2 linked regions of the Drosophila melanogaster genome follow. The protein of the gene in region 2 interacts with the protein of the main gene of each other region in a pairwise test. Each region holds a gene or a part of one and is shown on either strand. Other genes may lie near its edges.

Region 1 (16,804 bases), 2.4 Mb from region 2:
TTTTAAAAAACGTGCTTTTGTAATTACACAAAAGATTGTGATTGCTTTCAATATATATTCCGTTTAATGCATTTTAACAAAAATTACTCATACGCCATGAAAGCCGACGCACTGCAATATTCAGTTATTTCCTGAATGTGAGATGCCTTTTAAAAAGGATAGCTATCGTGCTAATGCTTCCGCCATAAAAAACACAACAATTAAAACCAGTGGGCATTTAAGCAAAAAATATGAAACTAGTTTGGTCAAGATATCCATTTCCATTGTAAGATTTAATTTCCAACGGCCAATACAGCTTCACGCTGCCATCAATGTCTGTAACCTGTCGCTCACAACCATCGCTGTCTGCTCATTTATAAAAACGCAGGAAAATATACGATATTCTAGTGTCTGTATGCAGAAGGCACACACTCGTATGGGAGGAATATGGGAATTTATATACTTGAAATGAATGTGTAAAAAATATTTCATCAAAATGTTTCGCCCAAACAAAAACCACAAAGCGCACACAGACAAGGGACGAGCACAACGAAGGAACGAACAGTGGGAAAAACAAGGCTATAAAGCAATATAAATATCATTTTTTATTTATTAAATTTTAGTGGGTGTTGTGCATTGAGCCGAAAGAGGCGCAAAGTGTTTCACTGCCTGACTGCAGTTGCGAGTGGGTTTTATTTGGGCAACCATCTCGTTTTCCGGCGAGGATCCATCCGCTCGTCGGTAAGGGCGTTCGACATAACAGCACAAAGGTATGCCGGAGCAAATGTTCCTCTCTAATTCCGTATTTATTGCCACACACACAGACACACACTCTCAACTAAAGAAGGTTGTAATTCTGCAATGGACTTTCCTGCCGCGAGGCTGGGCTCGATTGGCGGCAAGTCGGCAGGGGCAAGACTTTCAAAAAACAAAGCAACCAAATGTTGCATAAGCATGCTGTCACCTGGCCTCAAAATTGAATTGCAGAAAGCCCGTGTCCGTGGGCCAGGCCTCCAGTTTTCCCCTGGGGCAGTCAACTAAAATGAAGTGAAAAGCTCGTTAGGATCTGGCCAAATGGTTTGGGTGAAAGGGCTAAGGCAACGGCTACCGCTACCGCTACGCCTACGTGTGAGGCAGTTAACTTGCCTTTTGTGCCCGACCTAATCAGTGGGCAATAACGTGACCGCAAATGCCTCCTAATCTTGACCGACAAACAAAAGGATCGAAGAGGCGGAGACTGGCCAAAGAGGTCACTAAATAAAATGACCAAAAAACGATGTCCGCCAAAAATAAAACAGAGCATCGTTCGTCCGTTTTAAAGCTGTCACCCTATCAAACAGAAGCGAACAAAAAAAGGGAGCAGCATAGAAGGACACTAGGAAAAAAGAGAGCGAAACATTTATTTAATGTGTTCGGGTGAAATCTTGTGAGGAAGGGTCCGCAGTGGAGTGGGCTTTTTTTATGGTCTAAGACAAAATTCATGATTATTGCTCATTCTGTCAAAACTACAACATAAAATAGAATGTTTTAAAGCCAGATGAGCAATGGTGAGGAGACACAAGGACATGGCCGGCCAGCGTCCTGGTCTCTTAAGTTTCATTCCCAAAAAAAAAAAAAAAGAAAAAACTGGCAACTATCGAATGATAAAAGGCAACTCGGACTCCAATTGGAAGTGAATCCTCGTGGGGGGGAGAATGTGGCCGAGCCGAAAGCAGCCAAAGATATATGGGAATGAGCTTGATAGAGTCTAACTAAATGCGCCATTTATATTCAAATATCCGCCACTAAAAAACAAAACGAAATAAAAGACGGCGCTGGCCGCAAGTTCCCCTCTTAAGAGGCTCGAATGTCTTCAAAGGACAAACAGCGGCAGGACGAAAAATATTTTCTTTTATTTAAATGAGCCTCATCTCTATGTATCCCTCTGTAGATGCGAGACATGTAACGGCTGCGCCCCATATTTCCTTCCTTTTTTTGGGAAACTCTTGGCTCTTTTTTGTTTCCAGGGTCAAGCGGTGGGTGGTGTTGGTGGTGGTGAAGGCTAGGGTCTGCCCGTCATTAGAAACGTCGACTTTCAATAGGTGAGGGTGATTTTCATTTTGGGTTTTCTGTGTGTGACCTACCCGGTGAAGCATAAAAGATGATTAGGCTCTTTCAAATTTAGATGTAGCGTGGTCAAAATGACGTAAAGGAAAATGGTTCAAAGTTCTGTGGCACACACACACATATATATATATACACACTTGCTAATATTGGCCAATTGCTGTTGGCCATAATTATACTGGGCGACAATGAAATGGTTGACTGCATAATTGGATTAGTGTCCCCCAAACGACGCCACAACAAATCCAAATTGAAATTGAATTTTCTAATTGGACTTAAGGCTCGTCTCCGGAGGCACAAAGGAAATTAAATAAAGATTACCGTCCAGCGGAAACAGCAAAAGTATTCGGTAAACAAAAATAAATAAACAAATAAAATAATATGATATCTAATTTATTTTATAAAAACGTTACAGCTTATATTACACAAATGCTGCAATATAAAGCAGAATTATCGTTGGATTGGACAACCTCAGATGTAAAACTTTGCTTTAAATTCGAAATTTGAGCTGTATTTATTTTAGGGTTAATAATGATTGTGAAAGGAAAACATTACCGAATTCGTTTATACCAAAGCGGCTTCCAAAGATATATAAATTTAAGCTGCACTTCATAGAGAGGAAAATGAACTTGGTTTCGAGGTGAAATCCTAGAGAAATACTTAGAATTTTGCGGTAAACCAACAGCATCATTTCCGAGCTAATCGGGTTCCAAATAGTTTACAAAAAGCCCCATGTAATCCCTGGTTAGCCCTTTCGCACAGCGTTCCGGCCAAGGCAGAAACGCTAATCATACAAAGGAGCTTTGGGGGAACGACTCCCTACCATTCTGTGTCATGAAATATATGAGCTGGCTGAGCGGTGCTTCATCATGCCCCGGCAGACAATGAATGAGCACAGCCTGGAAGCTGGGAAGTCACTCATCGGGCGGCTGGGCTGGCAGCAGTCCATGACCAGAACTCCACTTCCCAGTAACCAGTAACCAGCCAGTAGTAAGCAGTAACCAGTACCCTGTAGCAGCAGCAGATTTCCCTCACCCACTCCAGTTGCCTGGGGTTCGCCAGTTTTTGAAGACCCGATCCGACACTCCACACTCCACACTCCGGGTTGATTCAATGACAACGGCAACATTTGTGCATGCATAGAATATTCCGCTGATGATAACACAATGAGCCAGGAGGGGGCTTTATGAGGAGGGTGCCATGCCTCACCGAGAGTGAGCTCGCAAAATTTATGTTTACATACACCGCTATTCATTCTGCGACGTCGTAAGTGCGGGCTTTGCGGTATATTAAGTGGGTAGCCTCATCTCAACTCGGAGCTCCGAGAACCAGGACCTGCTCCTGCTCTTCATCTTCAGTCGTGGCAGTGGCAGTGCTTGCTTTTTATTTAAATAAGAAATAATTTTGTCGACATGAATGAATGAAGACTTTTATCTGCCCGGCACCCTTGCCTCGTTTCTCTTCGCGTGATGTTGTTGTGCTTTCTTTTGTTTCTTGCCCGCTTCCACTTTTGTTTGCCACTGATTTAGGATAACTGCCAGGGATTCGAGGGCGGGTTTAGTGGTTAGGGGGAGAGCTTTTGTCCATAAATTACTAAACCGAATTGAGCGCAACTCACTAAACGCGTCCTCAATTGGCTGTCCGAAAAGTTGACCACGTATTTTAATCAGAGCTTCTCTGCCCCCATGGAAGCAGTTCATTAACATGCAGACATTGGGGGAAAATTCATGAGGAGCTGCAGGATCGGTAGCTTGAGGTGAAGCAGCTCTAGACAATAATCAAGTTGGTCGTTTGCTCTGATTTTATTCGGCAAAGTAACACGAGTTCGGATTAGTTTCATTACCTCTCCAGTTTGGCCAAGTTATCCACCTCTTTTTCACTCAGGTCGAGGGGGTTTCGGAAGGTATTTCGGATACTAATGCACCGCAAAAGGCAGCCAACCACTTAAAGATTAAGTGCAGATCCAGCCAGGCGCAACCGAGAAACCGAAAAACTGGAAAACCGAAAAAGGAGAAGGCAGACTAAACCGGAGACGGAGAAGGAGCCGGAGCCGGAGCCGGAGCTCAGACAAAGGATAAGGCCCTGGCGGTTGTGGCCTTGGTAACACAGTCCCACCCAAAAGGCATCAAATCTCCTGCCCCTGCTTCCTGCCAGGACTCACTCAAACAAAGCTAATTAACAGATTTGTCAGCTTTTCATCACTTGGTGATGGTGATGGTGATGGTGCTGGTGGTGGTGCCTTCATTGTTTTTCTCTTCTTTTTGTTGTTTGACTTTTACACTTTTGAACAACAAGCCGAAAGGAAAAAGCATGAAGGAATGCAAAGTATTCGATAAAAAATTATGAAAGAAACCCATCTTGATGCATGCCTGTGTATGAGTCCCAAAGAAATCGAATGAATGGTGTTAAGGCAATAAAACACCATCAAAGCCAGGTCCACGTTCCACGACAAGACGGTGTCGGGGGAGCAGGACGAGGACGAGGACGAAACGTAGGCGGAGGCCGCAACGGAGGCAGGCACTAACTTTTCAATCTCTGCTGCAACTTCCGACAGAGACAGCCATGTGTCTAGGCTCTCATTCTATTAGGAGCCCCCCATACACCAGGCGAAACTTCAGATAAACAGACTATAAGCCTTTTCTATTCATATTGTGTTTGGCTAAAAGGCGAAATGATGAACTGACATTTTTCAAAACACTAGACAATTCCCAAAATGTATTCTCTAAAATGTATAATCCAGCTGACATAATAGTTTGGGTCCTCTGTTTTGTAAGGAAAATGTTAGATATGCTTAAGATTGGCATTTAAGTGATTTAAAATGTACTAGCTGAAAAGATGAAAATAGATTTAAACTAATACAATTGGGGAATTGATAGAGTCAGAACCTTTTAAAACAAAAACCGAAAAGGAATAAATAACCCTTAATGTTCGGAGTGTAAAGCCATCCATTCCATTCTCTTTGCCCTGTATTGATATGTATGGTGCAACTTTGCTCGCAAAGCACAGCTAAATACTGGGGTGGCGAATCCTCTGGCGGGTTGACTAAGGAACCCCCCGGGAGCCGAAAGAACAACAAACAACTGAAACAAATTGCAAACTCATTAAATTAAAATTATATTTAATAACCGCGAGTGCACGCAGCGCCCGGCGATTTGCTCTAATGCCCAACGACCAAACCTCGCGCCCACTTGCACCACTTGCAGCGAGTGCCCCACCCACCATTTGGCAGAGAATAACCGCCGCCCACTTGGGTGCATTCCGTGTTTTATTGTTGCAGTTCCCGCCCCGCCGCCGCTGCCCTCGCTGGTGCCCAAGGCCCCGCCACCGCCGCCCCCGCCCCTAGCTCCCGGTGAGAAGAGAGTGCTCAGCAGCACACAGAAGGAGACCCTCGAGAAGCTCAGGTGAGTGGAAACCTCGACGACTGACCCATGAACCCTGACCACCGCCAGTGCTTGCATACCCGAATATCCTGGCATCGGGATAGTTTTTACCTTGAAGGCGCAGAATGGCCATAATTCCGATTCGCTTCGATTCGCAGGACTCGACCCCGAAGGCGCCCCGACTGGTCCGAGATGATGAAGGAGGTGGAGAGCGGCAAGAAGCTGCGCCATGTGGCCTGCAACGATAGGTGAGTGGTGTCCGCATGCTGTGCAGTAATTACCGACTGCAATACTCCCGATAATTAAAAAGGGAATGAAAACTGAAGTTATTTAAGGCCACAGGAAAGAGTACCTAGAGCATCTTACTGCGTTTACGCCACTTTATCCGGCAAATGTTAATGACTTTTACTTAAATTTTAAGTGTGCAGAAGTACCAGCAGCCAAATAATAGATAACTCTGCACGAAAATGTTCAAAAATCTCTTTTATAACAATTCAAATCCTAATAGATCTCAGCCCATCCTGACGTGCAAGTCGATAACCAAATTGGACGACAAGTTCATCTACGAGACGGAGAAGGGCAACTCGCACAACAAGCTGCTCAAGCAGATCCAGGGCGGCATCAAGTTGAAGCCAACGAAGACCAACGATCGCAGCAAGCCGGTGCTGGACGGTCTGCGCAAGTTCCGCCGACAGATGACCATCGAGGAGCAGTTGCAGAAGTCGCAGTCGAAGATCAACATGCTCAGCGAGGCGCCTAGCAGCCATGCACTCGGACCGGGCAGTGCCACGGCCTTGGGAGCCGGAGGATCCCGGCCCAGCATCGTATCGGCTATGTCCATCGACGAGGAAAGCCCCGACGAGCTGGACGACATCGACAAGATCCGCGACGATCTGCAGAGCACCAAACAAATGCTGGCACTGGAGTTGCGAAACCGTGAGGCGCAGGATCGCGAGAACAAGAAGCTGCTGGCCAAAATCCGCACCCTAGAGACCGAACTGGAACGCGAGAAGTCACGCGAAAAGAATCTCGAGTACGGATCCAATGTGATTGTGGCCACCATGGATCCTACGCCCACCGCCGAACAGACCTACGTCAACTCCCTGAAGCGCGAGGTAGAGGACGCACGGAAGGTGTCCAAGGAGGTGGAGCAAAACTATCAGAGCACCGCCGAGCAGCTGGTGGAGGCCAAGACGGAGATCGAGGAGCAGCGCCGCCAGATTCAGTTGCTCGAACGCAAGTTGGCAGCAGCTCTTCAGGTAATTCCTTTTGCAGAACGGGTTCGGTAATATGTATATGTAGGTAATGGGATGCTGCTCAAAGTGTTGTCAGTTGAGATTAGGATTTTGGATTACAACCATTTACAACATAACTATCTCCAAGGGTATGCAAAGCATCGGACTCCGAAGCTAGTCCTTCTTTCTTGTTTTTAGTGTCGCCGGCGTCGCCTCGCTGCGTCCGCTGAGGGCGGCAAGTAGACGGGAGCAGCTAACGAAGCCACCGCAATTCGTAGACTCCGCCTTAGATCCCTCGTTAGTTGTCCCTAGTAGCCACTGTAGCCAGAGAAACAGATCAGCTGACAACACTTGACACAAATGTGGAATGGGTCTGGGAAAGGATTACCCGTGGATACACCTTGTTTTCTTCCTTCTTAAAAACGGTTTGCACACGAGACTTAAAATACCAGAAATCTGATTGAAGCCAGCAGACAGCTTGCTGTTGAGAAGGAATCAGACAAGTTGAATAGTAAAATTATTATCAAGAGAAAGCGAAAAATGAAATTCAAAACTGACCATATTTTATCAAAGCTCAATTTGTATTAAATTTCGGAAGCCATACTTTTCAAGTAAGGTGCCTTCATCCCTTACCTGTGCTATCTGTTTGCTTGCACACAATTCCAGACAAAACAAAATCAAGTTTCTGGGGAAATGCTCAAAAGGTTCCAGAATTTTTCTTTAAGCAAATAATGGACCTGGCCATGCCATGGTAGACATTAAAAAATGTAATCTTTATCAAAACGAAACGAGAGGTATAAACAATGTCCGAAGATCTCGTGTGTAGACGACCTTAAACTCCAACTGCCGGACGCATGCTGCATGAAAGACTCCCGCCACCCGCATTCTGCTTCCGCCCAGACCAAAGCGGTGTTATGACCCGTCTAGGACACGTCCGGTCCCGATTCCTATCCCCCTGAAAGCTTTGCTATTGCACTCCGCGGCAACTAACCGATTAACCCGTTCACGCTCTCTTGCAAAGGCGACACCAAGCACTAACAGACCGCACATTAGTAATTGCTTTGCTTACGACGACGACGACTACGACGATTGCTTCCACTACGACCACTACCATGCAGCACGGCATCAGGTAAAATCAGGCCCCGCTCAAGGATGCCCTCACTAATCCAATGTGTGTATCCCTTCTTTCCCGTTTTCCGTTTTGCATTAACTGCGGCTGCAGGGCGGTGGATCCTTGGACGGATCGCGTCGACCAAGCGATGCAAACTTTGGAAGGGATAGCTCGCCGGAACTGGAGCCTGAGGTCAGCGAAAGCGATCCTGACGAGCCGGAGGAGAAGAAGGTGGAGCGCAGGGAGCGTCGCTCTGGCAAGGAGCTCAAGATCCTGCGTAGCAAGCTTACCAAACTGAAGGTCAAAGAGGAGGCGGCCAAGAAGGAGAAGGACGCCCTCAAGCAAGCCATGAAGAAGAACCAGAGTATCCTCAAGTGAGTACAAATTGTAATGTAGTATTGTTCTTAAACTGGAAACAACTCTGGATGACAGGGAGGAGAACAAGAAGTTTAAGAAGCTGGAGAAGGAGGTGCAGAAGATGGCTGCCTCCATGAAGCTAGACGAAGACGATGTGGACGGCGAGGAGAAGGACGAGGACGAAGAGGAGGCCGAGGAGGAGCACGCCAGCGAAGAAGAGGAGGAATCCGACGACGAGTCCGAGGAGTCCGAATCGGAGGAAAGTGAGGCGGAGACGGGCAGCGAGTCCGAGCCAGAGGTGAGTTAGCCCCAGAGAATCGTAAACTATTTAGCCAGCTCACCTGTACCGTATTCCGCAGGACTCGCCCAACTCCGCGAAGAAGGCGAATGTGGAGCCGCGCGTGAAGAAGCACGAGAGCCGGTTCGCGGCGATGAAGAAGTGCAATGTGCTGCTCCAGGCGAACGTCGACAATTTGCAGGATCAAATTGTGCAGGTGCGATCGCGGGCCACCAATCTGCAGGACGAACTGGACGCGGTTATTGCCGATTTGGGCTTCTAGTCCCTCAGCTTGTCTTCCGTTTCTGTTTCCGTTCCTTGCTCTGTTTTTTCGAGTGTGTGTGCTTCGAGAATATAAACATAAACAATAATAAACAAACAAACAAACGAAAAACTAGAGGTGGATGTAAAATTAATTCTGCAATCGATGTATGATGTCGATGTATGTATCGATGTCGCGCCGTCTGTATTCTACATGTAACGGAATTTTTACAAAGTAATGTAAAATGTTGTGTCGCTGTAGATTTGAAATTTTATTGTTTATTTATAACTATTTAAATGAATTATATAAAAATGTAGTGCAAATTTGCATGTAGAAGAGCGTGAAATTCAAATGCAAATTATAACTTGTTTTTATTTTATTCATAAGTTGTATTTATTACCGTATTTTAAGCATGTATAACAATGTACAAAACAACAAATCGGCGAAATTGGCTAAACTAAACACGCACTACGAGTATTTACTTATGAGTGGAGTGGATATCACGCGTCCCTTCTTATATATTTTGATTAATCTACGATCTGAGCCTTGATATAAGTAGAGTCTACGATGAATGAACCGGGTTTGCTGCCGGCCACTGATGCTTGCCGGGATTGGGTGAGAACGATGTGACAAGACGAGGGAGAAACCGCGAACTCTTTTAGTTGCTCTGGAACCACACTATTCCAGCAGGATGAGCCTGAATCGCTTCCGCAGCGACGACTCGCGTGGCAGGGTGCCTGCCCATTTCTTCAGGGCCGTCAGAACCACAGATCCCATCACCATCACCGCACCCACCAGCGAGTAAGCGGTGGGCGTCTCTCCGAAGAAGAGCATCTGCCAGACGAAGGCGAAGACGATGTCGGCGCAGCGAGCAATGGCCACTGGTCCGGCCTGTTCGATCTGCAGCGATAGCGTGAGCAGGATCTGGCCCAGGAAGCTGAATACGCCCAGTACAACGACCAGCCAACGATCCCGTCCGCAGCTTGGCCAGCACACAGCTCCAATAGATGCGCAAACGATCAGTGTGTAGACCAGAGCGATGGTACCGAAATTCGTCATGATGACGGAGAAGTGCAGGTTTTTGAGCGCCCGCAGCAGGATGTACACATTGGCTCCGAAGAGTGTGGATGATATGGCGGCCACTGGTCCCCAGATGTCGTACGTCTTCCCAGCGACATCCTCACTCTCCGCCGTGTCACCGAACACAAAGGGTGGGCGCGTGATGAGGACCACGCCGAGCAATGTCATATTGATGGTCAGGACATTGAACAGCGTACACGGCTCCTTGAGGAAGGCACGCGCAAATATGGCCACGAAAACGGGCGTGGAGAAGATGATGACACTCGCATCGGCCAGGGGCATGTGTCGGAAGGCATAGAAGCTGAGCATCAGACCCGTTGTGCCCATGAAGCAGCGCAGCAGCAGTATCACCCTCTTGCCCTCCGGAAACACCGGCTGTCGCGTGTATATCAGGATGGGCAGTGCCGGCAACAGGACTCCGACGAATCGAAACGAGGCCAGCTCCATGGGGTTCACGTCCACCAGTCCCTTCACAATCACCGAGCACAGGGAGAAGAAGAGCGAGGAGAGCGTGGCCAGCAGGATACCCAAGTAGGGACAATCGGCGCCCAATCGTCGCTGCAAGCGCTCCAGCCAACGGGGGGCGGGATCTGGGGGCGGGGCGCCCTCCTGGAACTGCTGAAGCTCGAGGTTTTCCGGCATTCTGTGGGGTTTCTTCTCTACAGTTTCTGGATTCCTTCAAAGTTTCAGCATCCTGCAAATGGGATTTGCATCAATATGTGTGCATGAGTGTGGGGAGTCTAATGGTAGCCCACCTGCCCTGAAAAATCGATTTCTTTCGATTGCCTTCCTTATTTACGCGCTGTGTCACTGTCTGCTGCCGCCTTTTCTGCGTTTTCAATGGCACATCGTTTCCCCGCCGCCAGTTTCACTGAGTTTTATTCATTGTTTGCACGCTCCGACTGCGTTTAATTAAACATTTTTAATTCTTTTCGCGAATGGAGATTCCGGAAAACCCTGTGGGCCAGTATTGCCACCCCGAAGATCTTAGTCCAGCCAACAATGCCACCTTTTTAAACGACTCGTCATGTTTAACGGTTTTATTTCGATATATTTTTATGAACTTTTAAAAGATTTGAAACAAGTTTTGCTTAAAATGTATTAAAACTGTAAAACTATTTTGGCATAGCACATTCAAATTACGGTTATAAATATTCCGAAACTTGTTTAGACCGGCTTTTACGGTTTGTGAAAACGTAAGTTGGCAGGCCAGCCAATCAGCTGCTGAACTCCGAAAGGAGAACAATGACTCGGGAATCGGCAGTCGCCACCAAAAGAAATTGGGCGATTCTGGCCGCAGGAGTTGGCTTGGTATACGTCCTGGTGCGGCACAGGCACCGACTGCTGTGTCCACTGCGTCGCGTCTGGTCCTTCGGCAGCCTGGTGCCCCAGCGACGCATAGAAGTGATCAACTCCGTCCAGGATCCGACCACGCAATGGGTTTTGAATGAACTGAAGAAGTAAGTAAAAACCACTTTAATTTCACGACAATGGAAATATATATATATATTCTGCCTCTTAGTCACTGCCAGACTTTTAAAGTCCTTGGATTCGATTGCGAGTGGATCACCGTGGGCGGCAGCCGCAGGCCAGTGGCCTTGCTCCAATTGAGCTCCCATCGGGGTCTATGTGCCTTATTCCGACTGTGCCATATGAAACAAATACCCCAGGATCTGCGGGAGCTTCTCGAGGACGATTCCGTGATCAAAGTGGGCGTGGCACCCCAGGAGGATGCCATGAAACTTTCGCACGACTATGGAGTAGGCGTGGCCAGCACACTGGATCTGCGCTTCCTCTGCGTAATGGCAGGCCACAAACCTGAGGGACTGGGAAAGCTCTCCAAAACTCACCTGAACTATACACTGGACAAGCACTGGCGCCTGGCCTGCTCCAACTGGGAGGCCAAGACTTTGGAGCCAAAACAGCTTGATTACGCTGCCAACGACGCACTTATGGCGGTGGCCATTTATCAAAAATTGTGCAGGGATCTGCAGCCAAAACACTTTTGGCAACGAAGGCAACTGGACGACAATAGCATGCACAACAAATTCGAACCCTTTCTCGACGTGGACTTCACGAAAGGCTTCACACTCAACCCGTCCGGCAGCGGAGTAACTCGTTCAAAGGGCTCCACCCAATCCAAAAGCAATAAATGGGTGCCCAAGAAGCAACCGTACCGGCAAATAGCTACCCGAACCAAAGACTTCTACGATAACTGCCTGCTGCAGGCGCCCGATGGCGAACTCCTGTGTACAATTGACAGGCGCAAGGCGTCCTGGTATCTCAATCAAAATCTGGGCACGCATATAAGCGAAGAGCCCTTCACTGTCCGCCTTAACTTCGAGCCAGCGGGTCGAGCGGTCGGAGATGTGGGGCGCTTCTATCAAACAATCAAGAAAAACCAGTGCGTGGTGTGTGGTGACCGGGATGCGTACATTCGGAAGAACGTGGTACCGCGGGAATACAGAAAGCATTTCCCATTGGTCATGAAATCTCACACCTCCGACGATGTGCTGCTCCTGTGCCCAACCTGCCACCAGCTAAGCAACATCTCGGATCTAAGGGTTCGCAGCAAACTGGCCGTGCAGTGCGAAGCTCCTTTCAAGCAGGAAGACGGATCTGTCAAGTACCATGATGATCCGCAGCTCAAGTAAGTATGCCATACATTTTCAGAACTAAGTTAAAAGTAAAAGTAAATTATACATTGCGAGGAATGTAGATTGCCTTATCAGTTATCTTACCAGACATATTTTGCCTCTTTTTTATCACCTAACTTTCCAAAACATACCCTGATATATGATAAAATTAATCTCCATAGAGTTCTCAATGAATCTGAATTGCATTTTATTATTTCCAGACGAGTCCAATCCGCTGGCAAGGCACTACTTCATCATGGCGCGAAAATACCCGCTGCAAAGAAGGCCGAAATGGAAAAGACTCTCCTCGATTACTACTCCGATCAAACGGACATCACAGAAGATCTCCTGCGGCAAGCAGCCAGCGTGGAATATCGCGTAGAAAACTCCGACTACTGTCAGCATGGCGAGCGGGTGGTGCAGCAATATCGCGATCATTTCGGCGGCCTGGTGGAGCTGGAGCGCTTATGGCGGCAGCACTTTCTGCACACAATGCAGCCCCGCTTTTTGCCCGAACTCTGGAATGTCAACCACAATGCCGATCGACTGGAAGTTCGCGCCAGCGAGGGTCGCATCGATAAAGCCGATCTTATGGTGGCCGGATTGGATGCGAAGATTAAAGAAACGTGATGCAGGGCTTTTCTGAGTTTGCCACCGGCTTTGTACGTTTTATATTTCAATTTTAATAAAAATAAACTAAAATTTTTTTTTGTGCTATGGTACAAGACGGGACAAGGAGTCACGGTTCATGAGGCAGATGAGCATCTCTGGACTAATCTAGGTGACTATAAATATAAAGCTTACCGTATGGGACAATAATACAATATGTACACGTTTAAAACTGAAGCACCTGGATCGAAGTAGAGTGGAGTGCGGTAGCTTGGAATGGCGAGCTAAATGAACTCGAATCCCTCATACTTGTAGTCCGTCTCGATCCTCGTTTCGGGCAGCAGTGTCTTGCCCGCAATATCGAAGGCTGTGATGAAGGTGGCCGTCTTGCCATTCAACTCCTCCGACTTAAGAGCCACGATTATTGAGTCATCGGTGCCGGGCAAGAACTTAAAGCTAGAGAAACCATGCGTGGGCGTTGTATTTTCAGGATCGAGCCGTACAGTCTCAACGTTGGTGAAGCTTTCGTCGGCGGAGACCAGGACATTGCAGCCCATGTGCTCGTCCTTGGTTTCGTTGTATCTTTCAAAGATAGATCGATGAGTTAAGGATTTAAAGGCTGACACGCTTACTCACTTCTCTTTCGAACACCGCCTAGGCAGGAAAAACCAGCGATTCCTTTCCTCTGACCAGGTTCCACTCTCGTGGATCATGTAGCCCGGCCAGGTTATTTGCATCGACTGCAGGCGCAACTGCTTGAAATTGTCCACCCAGTTGAGCGACCTCACCTCGCCGGACGGAGTGATGGCCTTTACGTACATGGGGTTATTGTTCTCGAAATCACCCGCACTTGTCGTCCACTCCTTGCCCATGGAGCCCACATACAGCGTTTGCTCTTTCACTGTGGCCCATTCGGCCTTGAAGCCCTTGGCACTGTGTCCGTCTCCATCGAGCAGGATCACCCAGGGAATGGGCTTGTCATTCACAATCTCGTATATCAAACCCGTTCGGTCGTCGAAGGTGAGCAGGCGCCCGTTGAAGGTGACTAGCTCAGATAGCTCCATTCCGCGGCCCTTAAGGGCAAATGCTGATTCCAGGACTATCGGCGCCCCGTCATCCCAGCTAATCTGGATCTCTGACCTGGCCACCGTGTAGGTAAGGTAGCCCTTCTTCAGGTAGCTACGCCACGTGCTGCTCCCATCGCCCTTGCTCACCTTGGAACTGGTGTCCAGATCGGCAATCATGGCTATCCGGTAGTTTATCACACCGCCACGCAGCACCATGGGTGACGTGAGCGGATATGTGGCATTGTAGGCCTGGACCACTGGACCACCATTGTCCAGACTCCGGGCATCCGTGTAACTGCGGCGCAGCCAGTAGCCGTCGGAGGAGGAGTGCGATCCCTGGCGCGCAAAGTAGAAGAGTAGGACGAGTACGAAGGCGCAAACAATCAGAAGGGCGAAGTGATAGTTAAAGCGCACCGTCCGATTCCCAATCCGGTACGTGGGCGTCCGCAGGGCCGATCGCCAGTCGCGCATGTACATGGCGCGCGGCGAGTGTTCTGCGTGTTCCCGGTACGCGAAGGCAGGGCTCTGCATCTGGTCGCACGTCAGCAAGATCTCGTTCGCGGTGATGTGTCCGATTTTCTTGGTCTGCTGCTCTGTTTGTTTGGATGCTGGCGGTGTGACCAGCGCATGAGCGGGCGATCAGCTGGCGCAACAGCTGGTGCAAACTGGCGAGCGCATGCGATGTTATCGAGAAACAGGTGCAACAATTCAGTTTAAGTTAATGTAAACATACTGGGAAAAACATGATTTGGACAAAGACCGAAGGTAATTGAAATTATCAAAACAATACAACTGTCAACTGGTATCGCAGTCACTTGCAATTTATACGTATTTCTTGCTTGGATATTTTTTGTCTACATCTAGCTATTTTCCATGTTAGCCAGTGTTATCGATAAGCAGTGACTGGTCGCACTGCTGACTGCCGATACATTTTCATATTTCTTCTTCTTCAGCAGCACACGTGCTAGCAGCTTGCGCATTTGTTTTGTTTTCGTAATTTATCCGTCGTAAATTGCGAAAATGCGCATTCAAACGTGCTATTTTTGCTCTAGCAAAATATACCCGGGCCACGGGGTGCAATTCGTGCGAAATGACTGCAAGGTAAGAACGATTTGCTTTCCTGTTTACATGTGCTCCGATGTTTATATTGCTTCGCCATATTCCGTCGCAGGTCTTCAAGTTCTGCCGAGGCAAGTGTCACAAGGCCTTTAAGCGCAAGAAGAATCCCCGCAAGGTAGGATGGACGAAGGCGTACCGCAAGGCCGCCGGCAAGGAGCTGGCCATCGATCCCAGTTTCGAGTTCGAGAAGCGCCGCAACGTGCCCATGAAATACAGCCGCGAGACCTGGCAGAAGGGTCTGGAGGCCATCAAGCGGGTGACGGAGATTAAGGAGAAACGCACCAGCCACTTTGTCATGGAGCGACTGCGCAAGGGTCGCCAGGTCGAGATTCAGATGGACGTCAAGGATGTGCAGCGCAACATGTCCCTGATTCGCTCCCCAGCCGCAGGGCTGAAGCAACGACGTGCCCAGGAGGCGGCAGAGGAGGCCGCCCTCATGGAGGAGGATCTGCCCGAGGAGAAGATCACCTACGTGGATGCACGCGAACTCGAGAAGAAACTGGAGGAGGGAATGGGGGTCGAGGATCTCGAGATGTTAGAAGCCTAAGGACGAGTACGCTGATTTTTTCTTAGTTTAAGTTGCTGCTAAAAAATACATTATATAAAAACCCCGTGGTACATAAATGTTGTCTTTGGTTGTTATATATTTTCAAATCATTTGTCCACTTCTCTGTCAGTATCCTTTTGTTCGGGGGACTCCAAATTAATGGTTACGGGTCCATCGTTTTCTATGTGCACTTGCATGTATGCTCCAAATTTGCCATCTATTATAGTAAGTGAGATTAAAACATGACCAGCTGGAGTGTTCCTATCACTCACCTTTAATCTTGGTGCTATCGTAGGATTGACCTAGGCGATCCAAAAATTGATTGTACAACTCCTGCGCCTCCTCGCCCTTCATGGCAGCCAAAAAATCCGGTTTGTTGCCCTTAAGGCGGTGATACAGTGTAAACTGCGAGACGCACAGCAGTTCTAGGTTCAGATCCTTCACGGACTTTTGCCAACGCTTGCCCTCCTCCTCGAATAAACGGAGAGCCAAGATTTTCCGGACACTTGAATGGTAAGCTGTGTTAGGTGGTCTAAACCTAAGGTGGTTATCACCAGAGTGGAATTTACCTACAGATACTCAACATCCTTGGCGGTGTCGCTGGCCTTGATTCCCACCAGCACGCACAGGCCTGGTCCAATGGAGGACACCAGCTCATCCAACACTAGGGGAGCAGTATAAAATTATATGATAGATGGTAACTATTTGATCCTGCATACCCGTCACTTTGGCAGCCTTAACCCTTTGTATAACCGCACGCATTTCTTAATTATTCTATTTATTTACCACTTATTTAGATCTTTGTCAGTGCTGGTAAACTTGACACGAGCAGTGTTGACCGTCGCCCCAAGAATTCAAAAATATCGCGCATTTTCTGGGTAATAAACATATAACAGTATAATATAAAAATAACATAATAAATATAAAATACAGTACAATCAATAATATAATTTGGTTACATGCTGGGAGAGTCTTTTTGAGCTGGAGGGTGGAATACTTGCTGGCCCTTTGGAAAGATTAAAATTGATCTACATATATGTTA
Region 2 (15,995 bases):
TCTGTTTTTCCGATACCTTTTGAGAATCTCAAAAATGTCTTCTTATCGAAGATCAATCCATTTTTACGGTTTTAATACTTTTATAAATTCTAATGACATGTTTAGGTGGGAAATCGCTGCAATATTTTCAAGCTAGGTAACCAGAAACAAATTCTACTATTTAATCATTTCCGGCTTTGTTTTCCCCATTTCCTCAAACCACTCTTGGCAGTGTAAAGGGCTGAGCTTCGGTTTTCCGAAGCTGAAAGATACAAACTTTACCGATACCCATTTTATACAAGTCGCCCCACCATCCTCACACTCGGACTTAGCGTAGTGATTAAGAATAGCATTCCCGCGAAGGTAATTACATTTAATCAGTGTCATATTTCTAAGCATGCAGGAAACGTTACATGTTAGAGAGCAGCACTAGGTGCACCCATCCAGCTTAAGTAGATGCAGCTCGCACACCAACTGAGAATCACAAGCAGTGCGTTTCGGGACTGTAAGAGCAATGCAATGCAAAATAAAGAGATCGATTTTATTTGATTGTCGAACCCGTTTTAAAGTTCCCCAACATTTGGCCTTACTCGATGGAAATTAAACTCGCGTTGCGCCAGCGGTCTTACAGTTCTGAATCCCACTGTACCAGCGCTATTGCCGCACATAGTCGATAAGTCAACCTGCCAAGCTCCCTAAGGACCCTCCCCTTAGTTCCCAACTCCAGTAGCAGTTAAATTAGTGATAACGTTGCTAAAATATATTTGAGAGCATGTAAGATTAATACAAGTACGAGCATACTTATATTTAATGTTTTACAGAATTACATTACAAATATAGAATAATGTTTCAAGAATTTCTAGTACTTTGCGGATTTGTAATCGGGTTCATCGCCACCAGCACCGCCGCCTCCACCGTCCTTTGGCAGTTTTCGCTTTTGAATGATTGTCTAAATGGCAAAGAAAAATAAATATTTTGTATTGATCATCGACGAATCCTTTGGGATATACATACCTGAATCTTTTGCCACTCCCTATCGAGCTCGGCCTTCTCGTTCTTCTCCGTCTTGTTCTTGCGCGTCTTGCGACCGTCCTGCATCTTGACCCCGTACTGGAAGGCTGCCTTGGGCAGCGCCTCCTTCGTGCTCATGTAGTCGGAGTACTCCTCCTGCGTGTCAAAGTCCCAGCGTCCAATGGGCCCCTTTTTATTGCCCAAATCCATCTTGGTGTAATCCACCTCATCGTCCGAGTCGTCGATGGCGTCGTTCATCTCCTCCAGCCCGGGATAGCATTCTGCGTATCCCTCGGGTTCAGCGAACCGTGCGGCCATGGCCTTCGATATCTTGGGTGGCGGGGGAATACTGGATATTATCGGCTCCTCTGATGCCTCCGGCGGGCCGTCTCCAAAGTAGGACGGGGCGGACTTGCCTTGCTCCTGGCGGTTTCGCTCAGGTCGCGTGGCAGAAGGTTGGTAGTCCCCTATATCGTCGTAGATATTATCGCCCAAGGGAGCTGATTTCCCTCCCATGTTCGATGAGGACGAGGTGGCGTGCCGACTGGAGCCACCATTGCTAGACGACCCACGAAGATTTTCCACCTCCTTTTCGTAGAACAGCGGTTTGTCCTTGTCGCGCTTTTTGTTCTTCTTGTTGCGACCACCGGCACGTAGATAGCTCAGGATTTGGGACAGCTTGTTGATCACAATGTCATTGGTGGTCAGCGTGGCAACATCCTCTTGTGACACCGGCACCTCGAACTTGGAGCGCTTCAGTGTGGTTGGAATATCCGACTCCCCTAGCTCGTCATCCAGGTCGATCACATAGGCCATCCGTCCTGGAGCAAATAGCTCATTGCGGGGAACTTCTTTCGAACGCCTTGCCTGCACTAGATTGTAAATATTGCGCGCTAGTGCACCATTGATTGCATTAATATCCTCCGACTCGCGGCGTTCCGCTTCCAATTGCTCAGCGGCGGCAGCTGCTTCGGCGAGCTTTTCCCTTGCCACAGCGGCGGCAATCTCCTCCTCTTCCGCTTCCTTCGAGTGCAGCTCGGAGCGCACTTTTTGCAGAAGGGCGTAATCAAGACCCTTCACCAAATGCGTATGCTGGATGTCTCCACCCAAGAACTTGGACTCCTGAATGATACGTCTTCTTCGCTCCTGGGCATCGATTCCGGATTTCATATCTGGCGCTACAGCTCGATACGCATTGGTGCTGCTTCCGTGTCCCGGCGTGCTCACGTTCACGTAATCTGGATTGGCACCATCGCGTCGTTCTCGTGCTCGGTCCCTGTACTTCTCGGACAGCTCTTGCAGCTTCACATCCTCCTGCTTCTTGAGCGCCGCATAGAAGTTCTTTTTCTTGCGACGCAGATCATTCCGCTCGCTGCTGCTCTGACCCTTCTTCTTTTCGCCACTCAATCCTGTCGTGCCGGGGGCGGTGGAGGGCGTGGCAAAGGTAGCAGTGGCCAGAGATCCTCCAGCGGAGGTGCTGCTCGTCCCGGAGCCAGGAGGAGGAGCTCGGGGCGTCGCTAGCAGCTTGCGGAAGTCATCGTTGGTTAGTCGCACCGAAGGCGGTGCTTCCAAGTGGGCATCCGACATGGCGAAGAAAATTCGAAGAAAACTCGCAGAGAAAATCTATATTTACAAATTGTGCTTCTTCTTGGTTTTGCCTGCCAGGGTTGGCTGTGTTTTTGATTTTTCTCCGTACTGTAATCGATAACATGTTTACAGTGATGGAAGATTAGCGTTTTTAGCGTTTTTTCCGAATAATTACGAATATTTGAAAATCGATTCCACATTTAGCATCACTGTTTCTCATAATGTATTGTTATTATTGTTAAACTACAAATGGAGCAGTTTCTTAAAGGTCTGCCCAAAGTAGAGCTCCATGCTCACCTCAACGGTTCCTTGGGCATCAAAAGCCTATGTGATCTTGGCGAGCGATTGTATGGAACCTCTTGTAAAGATTTCCTGAAGTTGTGCGCGCACTTCAGCCGATTTGAAAAGGATATGGATGCATGCTTCGAGAAGTTTGCATTTGTGCACGAGTTGACCTCCACCCGGGAGGGTCTGCGATTTGCCACGGAGTTGGCGATTCGAGATTTCGCTGAGGACAACGTCCAGTATGTGGAAATGAGGACCACTCCTAAGGCAAACGAGAACTATTCACGCAGGGACTACCTGCAGATCGTGATCGATGCAATTAAGGCAGCTAGCGAAACGTATCCAGAGATAACAGTCAAGCTACTGCCCTCCATCAATCGAGCGGAACCAGTGGACGTGGCTGAGGAAACAGTTTCCCTGGCTGTGGAGTTGGCACGGGCTCATCCAAATCTTATCTTAGGCATCGATCTTAGCGGTAATCCAGGGAAGGGGCGGTTTTCCGACTTTGCTCCTATTCTTGCACAGGCCCGGGATAAGGGTCTGAAGTTAGCTATACACTGCGCCGAGATCGAGAATCCATCGGAGGTAAAGGAAATGCTGCACTTTGGAATGTCCCGCTGTGGACATGGAACTTTTCTTACTCCCGAGGACATTGGGCAGCTTAAACAACGAAATATTGCCATTGAATGCTGCCTCACTAGTAATGTTAAGTCGGGAACAGTGCCCAGCTTGGAGGAGCACCACTTGAAAAGAATCATGGAGGCAGATGCACCCAAGGTTATCTGCACGGACGACAGTGGCGTTTTTGATACCACTTTGACAAAGGAGTTTCTGATTGCTGCGGAAACTTTCGGTCTAACCCGTGAACAATGCATCGATTTGACCTTGGAGGCAGTGCATCATTCATTCGCCAGCGAACAGGAGCAAATACAGATGGCGGATAGGGTGGGGAACTACGCAGACATATTGGTCAAATAAAAAAACTGTCACTGCCCTAATTGAAATAAATAAGTTTTTGTATGTAACACCATATATGTACCAACCTGATTCTTATTTGTCAAAAATTTTACCTTTTAATATCATTCTTTTTATTCAATATGTAGAAGTATTTAGTTACAAGTTTGTTCATTAGTTATGTTCATCCTTCGTACGTACATATGTGGCTAATAAGTTTTTATGTTTTTCTCATTTAATATCATTCATAATTGAATTCAAGTTTTCTGTTCATTACTTTATGTTCTCGTTTCTGCCGTTCTGTGTGGCTTAGTTTGGGGGTAGGCATTCAAAATACAATGGAGTACAAGCTTTGGTCAATAGTGGGCTCTTAAACTGCACCAAGTGAAGTGGACGATCGAAATCTAAGGAAACCAAAGTAAGACTTAAATGATCGAAATCTGTAGTTTAATAGCACATTTTGAAACAAACTTTTTGGGTGAAGACATCTTTATAGTCGGACCCTCCACCTACCCAAGCCTGCAGATTAGCTTTCAGTTGAAGTGGTTTGCCTGCCTGGTATTCCCTATATACAGTTTATCTATATTTTATACTTTTAGTTTGGTTTTAGCTTACTGCTGTGTTTCTACATGAGTTTTACTACTTTATCCAGTTCATTCCAAATGTCGAGCTTCAAGAAACGACCGACTTGGGAGTTTATTTATATTGTATAGAAGTGTTTTTACCTCAACTAGAGAGTTCAATTACAAATCTATATATTTATATAAAGGTTTACATTTCTACACTTTGGAAAAATTCTACTAGTTGAAAATGGTATGGTATGGATTTTGCTGTTGTATTCGACTTTATTTAGGAGTTCGGGCATAGGGTTTTAGTATTCTTGCTTTTAAGTATGTATAATTTTTTTTAAAATGTACGGCCTGGTAAAAGTTTAGCTTGCCAAGGCTTATAAAAAAATATGTCTTGTTTACTTACTGGCTCATTTATAAAAGTCGACCATTTTTGGGTAATATCATATAGACAGCTAGCCTGCTCATATATAAAAAATGCGCCGTATAAAATGCCTCGAACTTGCGCTTTCATTTTTGGTTGTTGTGCCATTTTCTGCAGATTTGGAAGGGCTATAGAGGTTATGGTACGTGTATATTATTTATCTATATTTATTTTCAATGTAATGCTATTCTCGTTAATTGCATGCCGTATTAATATCAATTTTGATTTCAGTTTTGTAGTCATCGCAGCCTTCCATTGAAGCCAATCAGTTGAAACTATGTGTGGATGTGTGCATTTTGGTGTGAGGAAGAGACAATTAAATCGGTTCGAATTGAGAAATAAAACGTTTTCTTTTTGCTACATAATAAACTTGTTTTATTTTTTTCACAAAGAAATTAGCATTAATCGTATTTTGTATAATAATAATAAACATAAAAATCTAATGCATTGTTAAATCAAATGCTCGAATGCAATGCTGTCCAAATTGTAGTTATTTAACTTGTGCCAATCGCTCGCGGTTTACAAAACTAAAGGTCTCGCTCTGTGTTTGTATATTTGAATTTCTCCGTGTGTTCGAGTGTGTAACTACAAAATATTATCGTAATTAATTAATTACTGTTTATTTATATTTATATGTATGTATATGCTTTAATATATATTTATATTTATATATAATTTATAGTTTTACTTGACGCCAGCTCTAGCACATGTCATGCCTTTTAATTTCCGCCATCCTTCCTTCTTTCATTCTTTCCTTTCTTTTTACAACAAATTACAAAAGGTTTATTTATGTCCTTAGCTTAGTTTACAAGGTTCTGCTGTCGAAAAAATTTTACAAATTTTTGCTTCTGCGGTATGCTTTATATTTACTTGAAATCTTGGTTATCTATAGGGCTTTATCGTATTGGGCTTTATTTTGTTTTTACACTTTAGTTTGCGAAAATTTCAAACCAATAGCCGAAGGGTTTTCTGATTTCGCAAATTCAAAATGACCCACTTGTTTTTGCCTTTGGCATACAAAGAAATGCTTGCTTAATTCGCTTCTTTATACGATTACAAGTTTACAGGGAGTTTTTCGTACATTTTAAGTTTTATTGTTTACATTTGTGGTTGTTAAATATTGATCCTTTTTAAGTGGAATTCGCTTTAGATTTTTAGATTTCGACTTGTATACCCAAGTGTCTTACATGCGTGCAAAAAATTGTTACTGTAAAAACTGGGCGTGTGTAGAATACGCCAGCATACGTGTAAATTTCACTGTGCCACGGCACTTCCGCTACTCTACACATGTATTTTACATATACATTATTTTTCTTTTTTAAAAAACGTTTGCCTCACGTCAAGTTCAAAACTAAGTGTAGTACATAATTCTATATGCGTGTATATATGTTTAAATATTTATAGGGATTCGCTGGCTTACACTAACTACTACAGCTAAGCAGCTCGCTGTGTCCTTTGTGTCTGTGTGGGTGTGTAGATGTGTTGGTGTTCGTGTCGGTGTGAGTGTGGGTGTTCGGTGTATTTTACACGTCAAATGTACACGGCGTGTAGCAATGTGTTTAGCCTACAGAAAGCATCTCTACTTGCATTGTTCACTCCGTATCGAACTCGAGAATCCTAAATACAATGTTCATCTATGGATTATTTAAATTAAAATTATCAGTGCATTGCGCTCTAGAGACAGGCAGTTGACAAGTTAATAACTAAAAGTACCAAACAAATAATACCGAGCCCTGCTTGCGCTGTCGCTTGAAATGCGCTCACTTGTTCAGAGACAGGATAATACGGATGTTGCAATGTGGTCATGTTCAATGGGATGGATTAGGGGTAATGGTAAATAGTGAATGATTAATGGTTAATGGGATGGGTGTGTTGGGGGGAAATGTACAGAAAATTACAAATGTTCAATGACTGGTATCCTTTGCTTGTTATATACAAAATACGACAACGACAACGACGACGGTGACGACGACAACAACAACGACACGACAACGAATTTGTGTGTACAAAAATATGCATAATACACTTTACATTGATCTCCAAAAATTGTTTTACATTGGATTTTTGTGTGTTTCGACGAAACCGACAAAAAAGTCTAAATTCGATTTTCTTACCATCTCTCGTTTTCATTATTTTCAGTATTTTAGTATTTGGAATAAGGCGTCGCGAAGTAATCTAAATTTATATCAAAAATGTACAAAATTCTTGGTATTGTTACTTTTTACAATATTCGTTCGTATGTATACATATACAGTTTTTGTTTGCAATTTACAAGTGTTTCGATGACGTTTTAAAACAATTTTATACACTTACGTGAAGGAAGGGTTGGTTAATTATTTAGTATGCCGCACAGCGAATGCATTTCAAGCTTCGCAGGGAGCAACAAGCGCTTTCTGTCTAACATAACAAAGTTAACTCTCCACCTGATTTCGTTCAGTGTGCAGTTGCGAAAGCATAGTGTCGATTTAAATATACATATACATATATCATACATTAAGGTGGGCTAGCAAACATAAAAGGGTCTCGGAAAATTTTGAAAAAAATTGGTTTATTTTGATGGTTATTGTTTTAAAATCCAATTATTATCATTTTTGGCTTACTTGGCTAACAGGTTCTTTTAGCTGGCCACCAGCTGACCAATATCCATGCAGATCGTCGATCGGTGGTCACCAGCTAATGTGTATAAAATTATAAATACATGCGTGAGGTTTAGAATAGAATATGTATGAGTTACTTGCGACTTAAAAAAAATTTACAAAATAAAGTATGTATACATTTTACAGTGAAACATTTGAAAATTACATGGTTTACATGGTTTGTTGTTTGGGGTTTTTTTTTATACAAAATTTTTACATAGTGCAAAAGCAACGTGAATGGGCTGAAGAGTCGTTCATTGTGTGGGTGTATGCAACCGAGTGTGCGTGAGGGGGCGTGGGCGTGTCTCGTGTGTCTCTGTTTTCATTGTGTCTTTGTAGCTGCTGGCTCCAAAAACATTATTACTCTACATTCTACACTAAGTGCGGCTTCTGCTGTTATCCCTCGTATATATGTTTGTATATTAGAAATGGTTCCTCTGTCTGAACTTATAAATCGTAGGCTAATTCATGCAGCCCGCTCTTTTTACTTTCTTTTTTTTCAGCTCGCCGGCTCTTCAGTTGTCTTCTTATTAATTTACAGTCGAAACATTAATCATTTACAGATAGACTTGCTATATAATAATTAATTTATACAAAGTTACAACGAAAATGTACGCAGACAAATCTGTTTCATTGACATTTTACATTACATTCATTATTTTTTCTTGATCGCGATTTACTACGCATTTTTGTTTTCTTTCATCTTTGCGGTTCATGCCTTTTTTTTACAAATTAATTATGCGAGCGCATTTTACAAATATTTTGAAATCTTTTTTCATGAGAACGTTATTAGTTTTGTTCGTAAAAATACAAATTTCTTTTAGTTTTAGCTGTTAAGCTCTTTTGCTTTTTTGCTTGCCAGTGTGCTTCTTTGTTTGCTATTTGTTTCTCTAGATTGGCGCATGTGTGTTTTACTATCCTCTTTGCAAATCTTCGAGTGCAGCTCCATTTATCGCTGCTTTTCCAATAAATAAGATTACATTTATATGTACTTGTTGTTTATGTTAAGCTCTACAGCTTCTAAAAACTATACTGCGATTCGAGAAGGAAGTTTCCTTTGACTGCCTGGCTTAATTTGTTATTTCCTTTACAGCACAACGTTGCCGTTGGTCGGGGGTCCAATGGGACCCAAGCTGCTGTTGACAGCGCCTGACACCACCGAGGACGAGGACTCGGAGGCGTCCGGGGAGGAGGGCTCCACAACCATGGCGCTGCCGTTCTCCTGCACCGAACAAATGGTGGGTGAGGCCAGGCTGTTGGTAGTGCTGGTCGTGGTGGTGCTGCTGCCACTGGTGCAGGCGGTTACCGATGCCGAGGTGGCACCACTGCTGACTGCCGCCGCCGACGAGGCTGCCGGCACTCCTCCAGCTCCTGTGCCCACCGTAATGGGATTGGTTATCTTCATGTAGTACTTCTCCAACTTGGCATTGATGTGCTTGCCGTAGGTGTACTTGCGCAAGGCGGCCATGTGGGGCCGGATCTTGGTCATCAGCTTCTTGAGCTGCGTCGGCTCCGATACATCGATCATTTTTTGGACCACATAGTTGGCATACTGATCCTTCATCATCACGTGCAACGCGCTGCGGAGGGAAAATGAGTTTTGGTTAAGTTAAAGCTAAGAAGGATTCAATTTCCGTGCGGGCACTCACTTGTCGTTGAAGGTGCAGACCTCGTCTATGAGACCAGTGCGTTCTCCGCGAGTGGCATGGGTAACACATTTCTCCACAACGTTTGAGGCGAACTTGTGCTGTGATAGCACCAGAACTTTGCCGCGCACGCTGTTGATAAGAATCGACTTATCCTCCTGCTTGCCGTGTTCTATAAATCAAATATGAAGGTAAGATGATGTATCAGCTATAAGGAATACATGTTAAATTATCAAGTGATAGCTTACCAAGCACATGCTGAATAACATAGTTGCCATATTGGTCCTGAATCAACTGTTCGGTGTGCTCATGCAGTTCGTCCAAAATGGGCGTGGTCTGTTCGGCAGTGCAATGCTCAAGGATTCTCTGGATCACCCGGCATCCATACGGATGGGTGCTTAGCGAGTAAACCTGACCCTTGAAAGCATTGATGATGAACTGCAGCGCCACGGGGTCCACGCACTCAATGCACTTTTGCACCACATGATTGCCATTCTGATCCTTGACGCATTTCAGCACATGTCCGTCCAGTTCGTGGACGATTTCCTGCTGCTGCTCCGGCGAGATGCTCTCCAGAGCCTTCTGAATCACTCGGCAGCCATACATTTGCAGCGCCAGCTGCAGCACATGACCCTTGACCTGCATGCCCAGCGTGTTCTTCTGCTCGGGAGTGCCGAACTCAAAGAACTTCTGGATGACATAGTTGCCAAAGACATCGGTCATCAGGCTATAGGCTGCCGCCAGGATCTCGCTGAACACCATTTGCTTCTCGGCGGCGGTGGCCCGCTCCAACTTCTGTTGGATAAACCGCGAGCCGTGCTGATCCTGTGAGAACTCCACAATGTGGTTAGCGAGATCGCGTAGCTGAAGATTTGGATACCGCTGGTTGCGGAAATCTTCGAGAAGGCGAGATCTTCCTGGCTGTGGGGCACCTCCCACTCCGCCGGCTGCTGCTGCCACCGCCGCTGCTGCCGCTGCCGTGGCAGCCACCTGACGCGAGTTGGCGGCCGCTGCTGCTGCCGCTGCAGCTGCCACAGCTGCGGTACCCGGAATGGCCAGGGGATTCGAGAAGATCGAGCTGTTGGATCCGAACATATTGTTGGCAGCCGCGGCCACCGCTGCCTGAGCAGCTGCTGCAGTCGCCGGCAGACCAACGGCGGCCAGCTGCTGTTGTTGCTGCTGCCGCTGGCGGGACTCGGCTCCAGGTGCCCGACTGCCCAGGAGACAGGATTGCGCCGATGGCGGCGGCGTGATTGGTGCGCCCAGGGGACTGGCCGAAGCATTGCCCGCTCCCAGGGCTCCGTAGGCTCCACTGGCCGCTCCCGACATCGCTCCCGGCCACTTGCCACGCGCTGCGGCGGCTGCTGCGGCAGCTGCTGCTGCCTGGGCCACTGTGCTGTTCACCGCATTGGCGGCCGCTGCCACACCGCTGCTGGTGTAGTCCATGGTCGAGGGACTGAAGGCGGAGGTGCTGCGGTCGAAGGAGTCGCGGCGACCCGTCAACGAGCTCGTGTTCAAGGCGAGGCCTGCAAAAAGTGCAAAGAAAAAATGCATTAGTTAATGATAAGCTATTTGGAAAGGTATAGAGGAGAATGCACGATTTTATGGCAGGACTCAAAGTTGAAAGATAAAAGTAAGGTACATCAATGTGAACTTAATCATGTTAGTTGCATAGTTTAGCACCACCCAGTGCAGCAAATAGCATCACTCAACCGCCGCAGTGACAATCAATCGGCAAATGGAAAATCGAAACCCGGTTTCATCCATCCAGCTTACAGCCTTGGGCGGGATATAAACTCGAAGTGGTCCCAGATATAAAACTCTGACGCAACTGTGCCATTATCCTTTCCAGTCGGTCACCAATGTCGCTCCGTAATTAATCGAGAGAAGCGAGGAGGCGGCTTTGATGCGCCTGTAAAACTTAATTGCCCGCTTCGAGGCGCAGCTGTTGGCTTAGTTTTAGTCACTTAGCCATTTGGCATTTGCAGTGCAGACGATACACATCCCTCTCTCTCTCTCTCTTTCCATCCCACCCCCGCCCGCGGACATCTATCTCTGTAAGCCATAATGTACAGCATTAATGGTGCGCGCACATGAGGCAGCCTGCAATCTACGAGAATATGTAAAAGGATACAAGTGGGCGGCCACAGCGAGTGGATGTAGCTGGGCGAAAGACGGTGCCAACTTGATTGATGTCGTAATCTGTCACTCGCATTTGATTTGCCATCTAAGCGGCGAAAGTGGAGAAAGTACAGAGGGAATGGAAAGCGAGACGTTGAGGGGAGGGATTTACAGGCTGAGTCTCTCAATTCCCTGCGACCAATGATCCGGAAATGTGCGACTCAGCGAAAAGCGAAAGTTCAGCCTGCAAAACCCCTCGGTCATAATAAATTCCTTTCACAATCTGCCACATTCTGTTGCACTTTGGTGTCCGTAAGAGCCAACTGCAGATTAATTGCTCAAATTTATATTGAGAGGGCGGAAAATACGCCATAAGCGTGGCCAGGACACATTAAGTTATTTAGCAACTAGTGCAACAAAGGCTGCGCGAAAGGGTTGCGAAATTTCCAGCTGGTTGCAGGTGAATAAGGGATTGGGTGGTTCTGAACCACTCATGGGTTTTCCGGGGCGTGTGGAAAACAGGGTTAAAGGACAAGGCGAGGCGAATGTTGTTAATGTCAACACAGTGTGCGCAATTTGTTGACCGAGTTATTAAGCAATTTGTTGAAAGTTGCGGAATGGGGCTGGTAAATAATACACAATGTTGGTGTTTGTTTCTGAAAACTAAAGTGGAGCAGTGTTAGCAGGTGTGTAGTGTAACGAAGAAATCGATAGTTAAAGTAACTTGGGTAAAATGTCTCAATTTTCGTGGAAATTGTATGTAACTACTTCAACTTTAAAGTTAAATGATCGATTTTACTTAAGTGGCTTAGCTCTGTTAATAATAACTACTTTACGTTGAGCCTGCAAACCGAATATCCTACCGCTTTGTTATTTCCTTAAGTAATCACTTTAGGCTTTAAGGATAATGGGACGTTTAAAAATCCGCTGCAATTCTTGAGCAATTAAAGCGCGGCTCTGTTTCCGTTACTTTGAAGCAGCTCTTTAGCACTAATTACATTTCATATAATGCCCCTTAAACCGTTTTTTCATAGCCTACTTAACAGCGCTTACAAAGTTGCCCGAGCCGAGAATAGTTTTCCAGCCCCGCCCGCTGACGACCTTCCTCCTGACATTTAAATGACCTCCCCACCCCCCATCACCACCTTGTGGAGACGGAAATAGGAGTGAGTGGAACGTGTGCATAATGTGCACGTGTGTGCATTTATAATTCATAAAATCATTACATTAAGCCAAGGACGAGCGGCAAAGTGTCGTCTCTCGCGTCTAGTGCCGTCTCCTTCGCGCCACTCGGTCGCTCTCTTTCTATTTGCGGAACGTGTGCATAAACCACAGAATGTCGCATGCAATAAACTTGGCGTCTTTTAATGCCACCCACCGCCCACATCAGAAGCAGCCATGGTTCCACATGCACTGCGAGAAATATATGAGTTCGAAATTTGAATGAGTTCGTAAACAACACAAAAATAAATGACTACTCTCACCTTTCTTACTTGACAGGTATTCAGATCTTTATACAATATTAAATCTTAACACATTGGAATTTACAACTGAATGATGCTAACCAAGTTTTGGTTGAGTGTACACTGCAGTTTCATTTGGCAAAGTGTCTCCCAAATGGAGGGCTGCTCCCACTCTAAGCTGATTTGAGCTGAGACAGACGGTCGTCGGGCAGGCCCTGAATTAGTGGATGGGAGTGGGGAGTGGGGAGTGGCAAGACTGGCCCCATATACACTGCCAAATGCGCGCCCAGCATCCCCCATCCAACACGAAACACCCACCACACCGCTGGGGGGCGGTTGGCAGCATTTCGCCCCGCACAAATTGCATGAATAATTCCCTTTTAAATTGTGCAACTACACGCACCTAACCGAAACCCAAAACCATACCAGGCAAACGCATGGCCAGGAAATAAAATAAACAGATGGAAAGCATACGCCAGGCGCAGTCGTAGTGGAAAACTCCCCCACTCCCACCAAAAACACTTTCCTCGATGCAAATTGTTTGTGTTTTTCCGCCGTCTGTATTTGAAATTTAGTCAGTCCCCTTCTGCAATTTCGGCGAAGTAGAGAGGCGCCAAATTAGTTGCAATTTAAATGCAAGAATTACAAACTTTTGCCGCCTTGCCCCGCTGGCTGTCATTAAACTAAGCATTTCACTCGGGATTTCCCCGTTTAATGCAAGAACTTTTAACTGTGAGCTGGCAATTAAATTCCAGCAACTGTCGTAGACAGATAAAAGTTTGCCTTTATGCAGTTAAACTTCGATTCCAGTGCAAATATCAATCTTCATAAAGATAATTTATACATATCTAAAGCTGTAATTACAATTAAGTTTTAATATAATTAAGTTTTATGCAGCTACACAACTAACGTGTTTTAATTAACAAGAGTTCTTGTAGATTGGCACTGTTACATCGATCTGTGCAGCAATACAATTTGATTTGAGTTACGCATACGCCGTGTGGCACACATCATTGAGACTTTCATTAAGCGTAAAGTGCACACACGACCGCCACGCCAACACCTCCCGACACCGCAGCAAGTGTCATCCGTGTGCTGCATGTGATCCAAGCAGGATGTCCCTGCTGCTCCTCCGCCCTGTAAGCCAGCATAGCAATTGACATTTTACAAAATAAACGAATTCATTTGCACAAAAGGCTGCCGCAGAAGGGAGGAGGAGGAGCAGGGAGCTAAAGGATAAAGCAGCTGGCTGGCAGGACGAACAATGTACTGCATTGTATGCAGAGTGGTTTCGTTGGCTGGGCGCTGCATTCGATGGGTTGGCTTGGTTGGCGAGGCCTTTCACTTTTCCAGCACCCCTGTGTGATGCAATCACATGTTGCCAACATGCGAAAGGTGTACATAATAATTTAGCAGGCAAAGGGAGGATGTTCCTGCTGCTATTGCTTCTGCTGTTGCTGCTGCTGCTGCCGCTTCTGTGCTGCCCCCATTGTTTTCAAGGCAATACCCAAAATGGGTATGGCGGTTGCAAAGTCAAGCTGCTTTCTGCTTCAGCCTCTGCTCCACCGCCCCTTCTTTTGCAATCCTGGCCTGGTCCTGGAACCCAGTAGTCACATCCCACCCCCTTCTTTGGCCCCGGCCAAGGCGCATTAACATTTGTAATTGCAGCTTGTCTCTGACGCAGAAGGGGATTCGTTCAACTGATATCCAACTTGCCACCCTGGGCCCGTGTCTCTGCTTACAAACCCCAACCCCAACCCCCCCCCCCCACCTCCCCGTCCCAATCTGTTCTGCTTCAGTCAGCCACTTAAAACAATATAATCTCCATTAAAAAGCCTTTTTGACATTGCACACAGTCAGAGACAGTCAGACAGGCAGACAGACAGATAGTCGGCTAGAAAGAGGGTAACAAGGGTGTTCAATGTACAGCATCGATTGCACAACATAATGAGTGGGCTGCTGATGATGAGGTGGCCTCCTGCCTGGCTAACATGCCGCCTGCACTTGTTAGTGGGGATTTGTGCCAGCGGAGGACAAACTGTGGGCGCCATGTGCTAATTGTAATTGAGATGCGAATGTGCAAGTGGAAATGGTTACACTCGGGCCAAAAATGCCATCGAACTAATGGTTTTACATTTGCAAATGTATAAACGATCAATTTCAAATATAATCAAATATTCAAATAAATATTAGCGCATAGAGCATTCTTTCCTTCCACAATTTAATAGGCAACTTGTCTTATGATCCGCACGCTTTTCCCTCAGTGCAACTAATCCAAATTGGTAGTAGTGCGGCATGTGGATCTGCGAATGTGGCACACTACTCGAGAGACCCTTAGCCTAATCACCTGGCATCATCACGGTGCTCGGGGCAAAGCATGTCAGGGCTTGACTTGCGGTCTCGAGAACGGATTGCGTTCGATTGAGTTTTCCCCAGCCACTCGAAATTCGAAATGGATTACTTAACCTGAGGACTTTTGCAGATCGCAGCTCTTAAAGTCCGTGCTTAAAATTGCAACGTTGAAAACAATTTCAGTGATAAAAGCAGTGTGTAAAACAAAAAAAGAAAAAAAAAAACGAAAAATATATAAAATACGTAATCACTCATACGTCATGTGGAACAACAGTGTGCAAAAGAAGAGAAAACTGGAAACTTCATTAAACTGCCATATGAGGCAAAATGAATTAACGACATAATAATGCCAGCTCCCGACCGTCAGGCGGATGGACGGGATTCGACTGCCATAGTCCGGGAAATTCGTTCCGTTAATGGAAAGAGCGTTTTTGCATGCGGTCGGGAAATAAAAACCGTTAGGTGGAAAGCGTAATAATTGATTTCGCCTGATTGTTAATGGAGTTAATGGAGCTGTCCACGTCTGATGTGTCCGTACTGGTGTGTATGAACTTTCTGTTTTAAGGAATGTTAACGCGTTCCGTAAGCTGCAGTCGTTTATGTTTATAAATCGAAAACAAGTTAAACAAATTCTACGTAATTGAAAATCCTTTGAATAATTTGTGAAAAATTTGAGTATCTTAAAGTTTGAATGCACACTTTTGTTGCCTAGCTGTAGTTAATAAATGTAATTTGAAATTCTATAAATATACAACAACTGCTCAGCAACAACAAAGATAAGCCATCGCCAACATTTTCCTTCTAGAGCTGGCAAGTATTCTATTGCAAACTGGTAGTTTTTGGGTCCCAAACTCATGGACAAACTTTGCACTTCTGGATACCTAGAATAATGAGTGTGCACAGCGTATTAGCTATTGAAAGTTAGTAAAATTAAATATGAGTAATAAATATATAAAGTAAAGTAGAGT

Evidence for each region.
Region 1: the proteins of beag (region 2) and CG17230 interact in a two-hybrid assay, tested with the Drosophila melanogaster proteins (one large-scale study listed by BioGRID).

What each region holds. Positions count from the first base shown.
Region 1 is NT_033777.3:11,429,802-11,446,605, reverse strand, and holds the start of CG17230 (uncharacterized protein), read right to left. Parts: upstream 8,822-16,804; 5' UTR 8,726-8,821; coding exon of another isoform or gene 8,525-8,725; 5' UTR 8,507-8,524; intron 8,464-8,506; coding exon of another isoform or gene 8,241-8,463; intron 8,183-8,240; coding exon of another isoform or gene 7,920-8,182; intron 7,827-7,919; coding exon of another isoform or gene 7,719-7,826; intron 6,722-7,718; coding exon of another isoform or gene 5,971-6,721; intron 5,711-5,970; coding exon of another isoform or gene 5,621-5,710; intron 5,484-5,620; coding exon of another isoform or gene 5,360-5,483; intron 4,415-5,359; exon of another isoform or gene 4,300-4,414; intron 750-4,299; exon of another isoform or gene 612-749; intron 1-611. Other genes in the region: sals (sarcomere length short), read left to right, coding at 5,360-5,483, 5,621-5,710, 5,971-6,721, 7,719-7,826, 7,920-8,182, 8,241-8,463, 8,525-8,725; CG5281 (uncharacterized protein), read right to left, coding at 9,383-10,426; Exd2 (exonuclease 3'-5' domain-containing 2), read left to right, coding at 11,030-11,244, 11,307-12,434, 12,642-13,050; CG5276 (uncharacterized protein), read right to left, coding at 13,314-13,611, 13,666-14,627; RpL24-like (ribosomal protein L24-like), read left to right, coding at 15,117-15,197, 15,268-15,762; Dtd (D-aminoacyl-tRNA deacylase), read right to left, coding at 15,870-15,979, 16,035-16,267, 16,336-16,426, 16,482-16,524.
Region 2 is NT_033777.3:9,062,413-9,078,407, forward strand, and holds beag (beag), read right to left. Parts: upstream 2,667-15,995; 5' UTR 2,578-2,666; coding exon 994-2,577; intron 929-993; coding exon 839-928; 3' UTR 720-838; downstream 1-719. Other genes in the region: Ada (adenosine deaminase), read left to right, coding at 2,827-3,840; pum (pumilio), read right to left, coding at 8,533-9,025, 9,095-9,263, 9,340-10,617.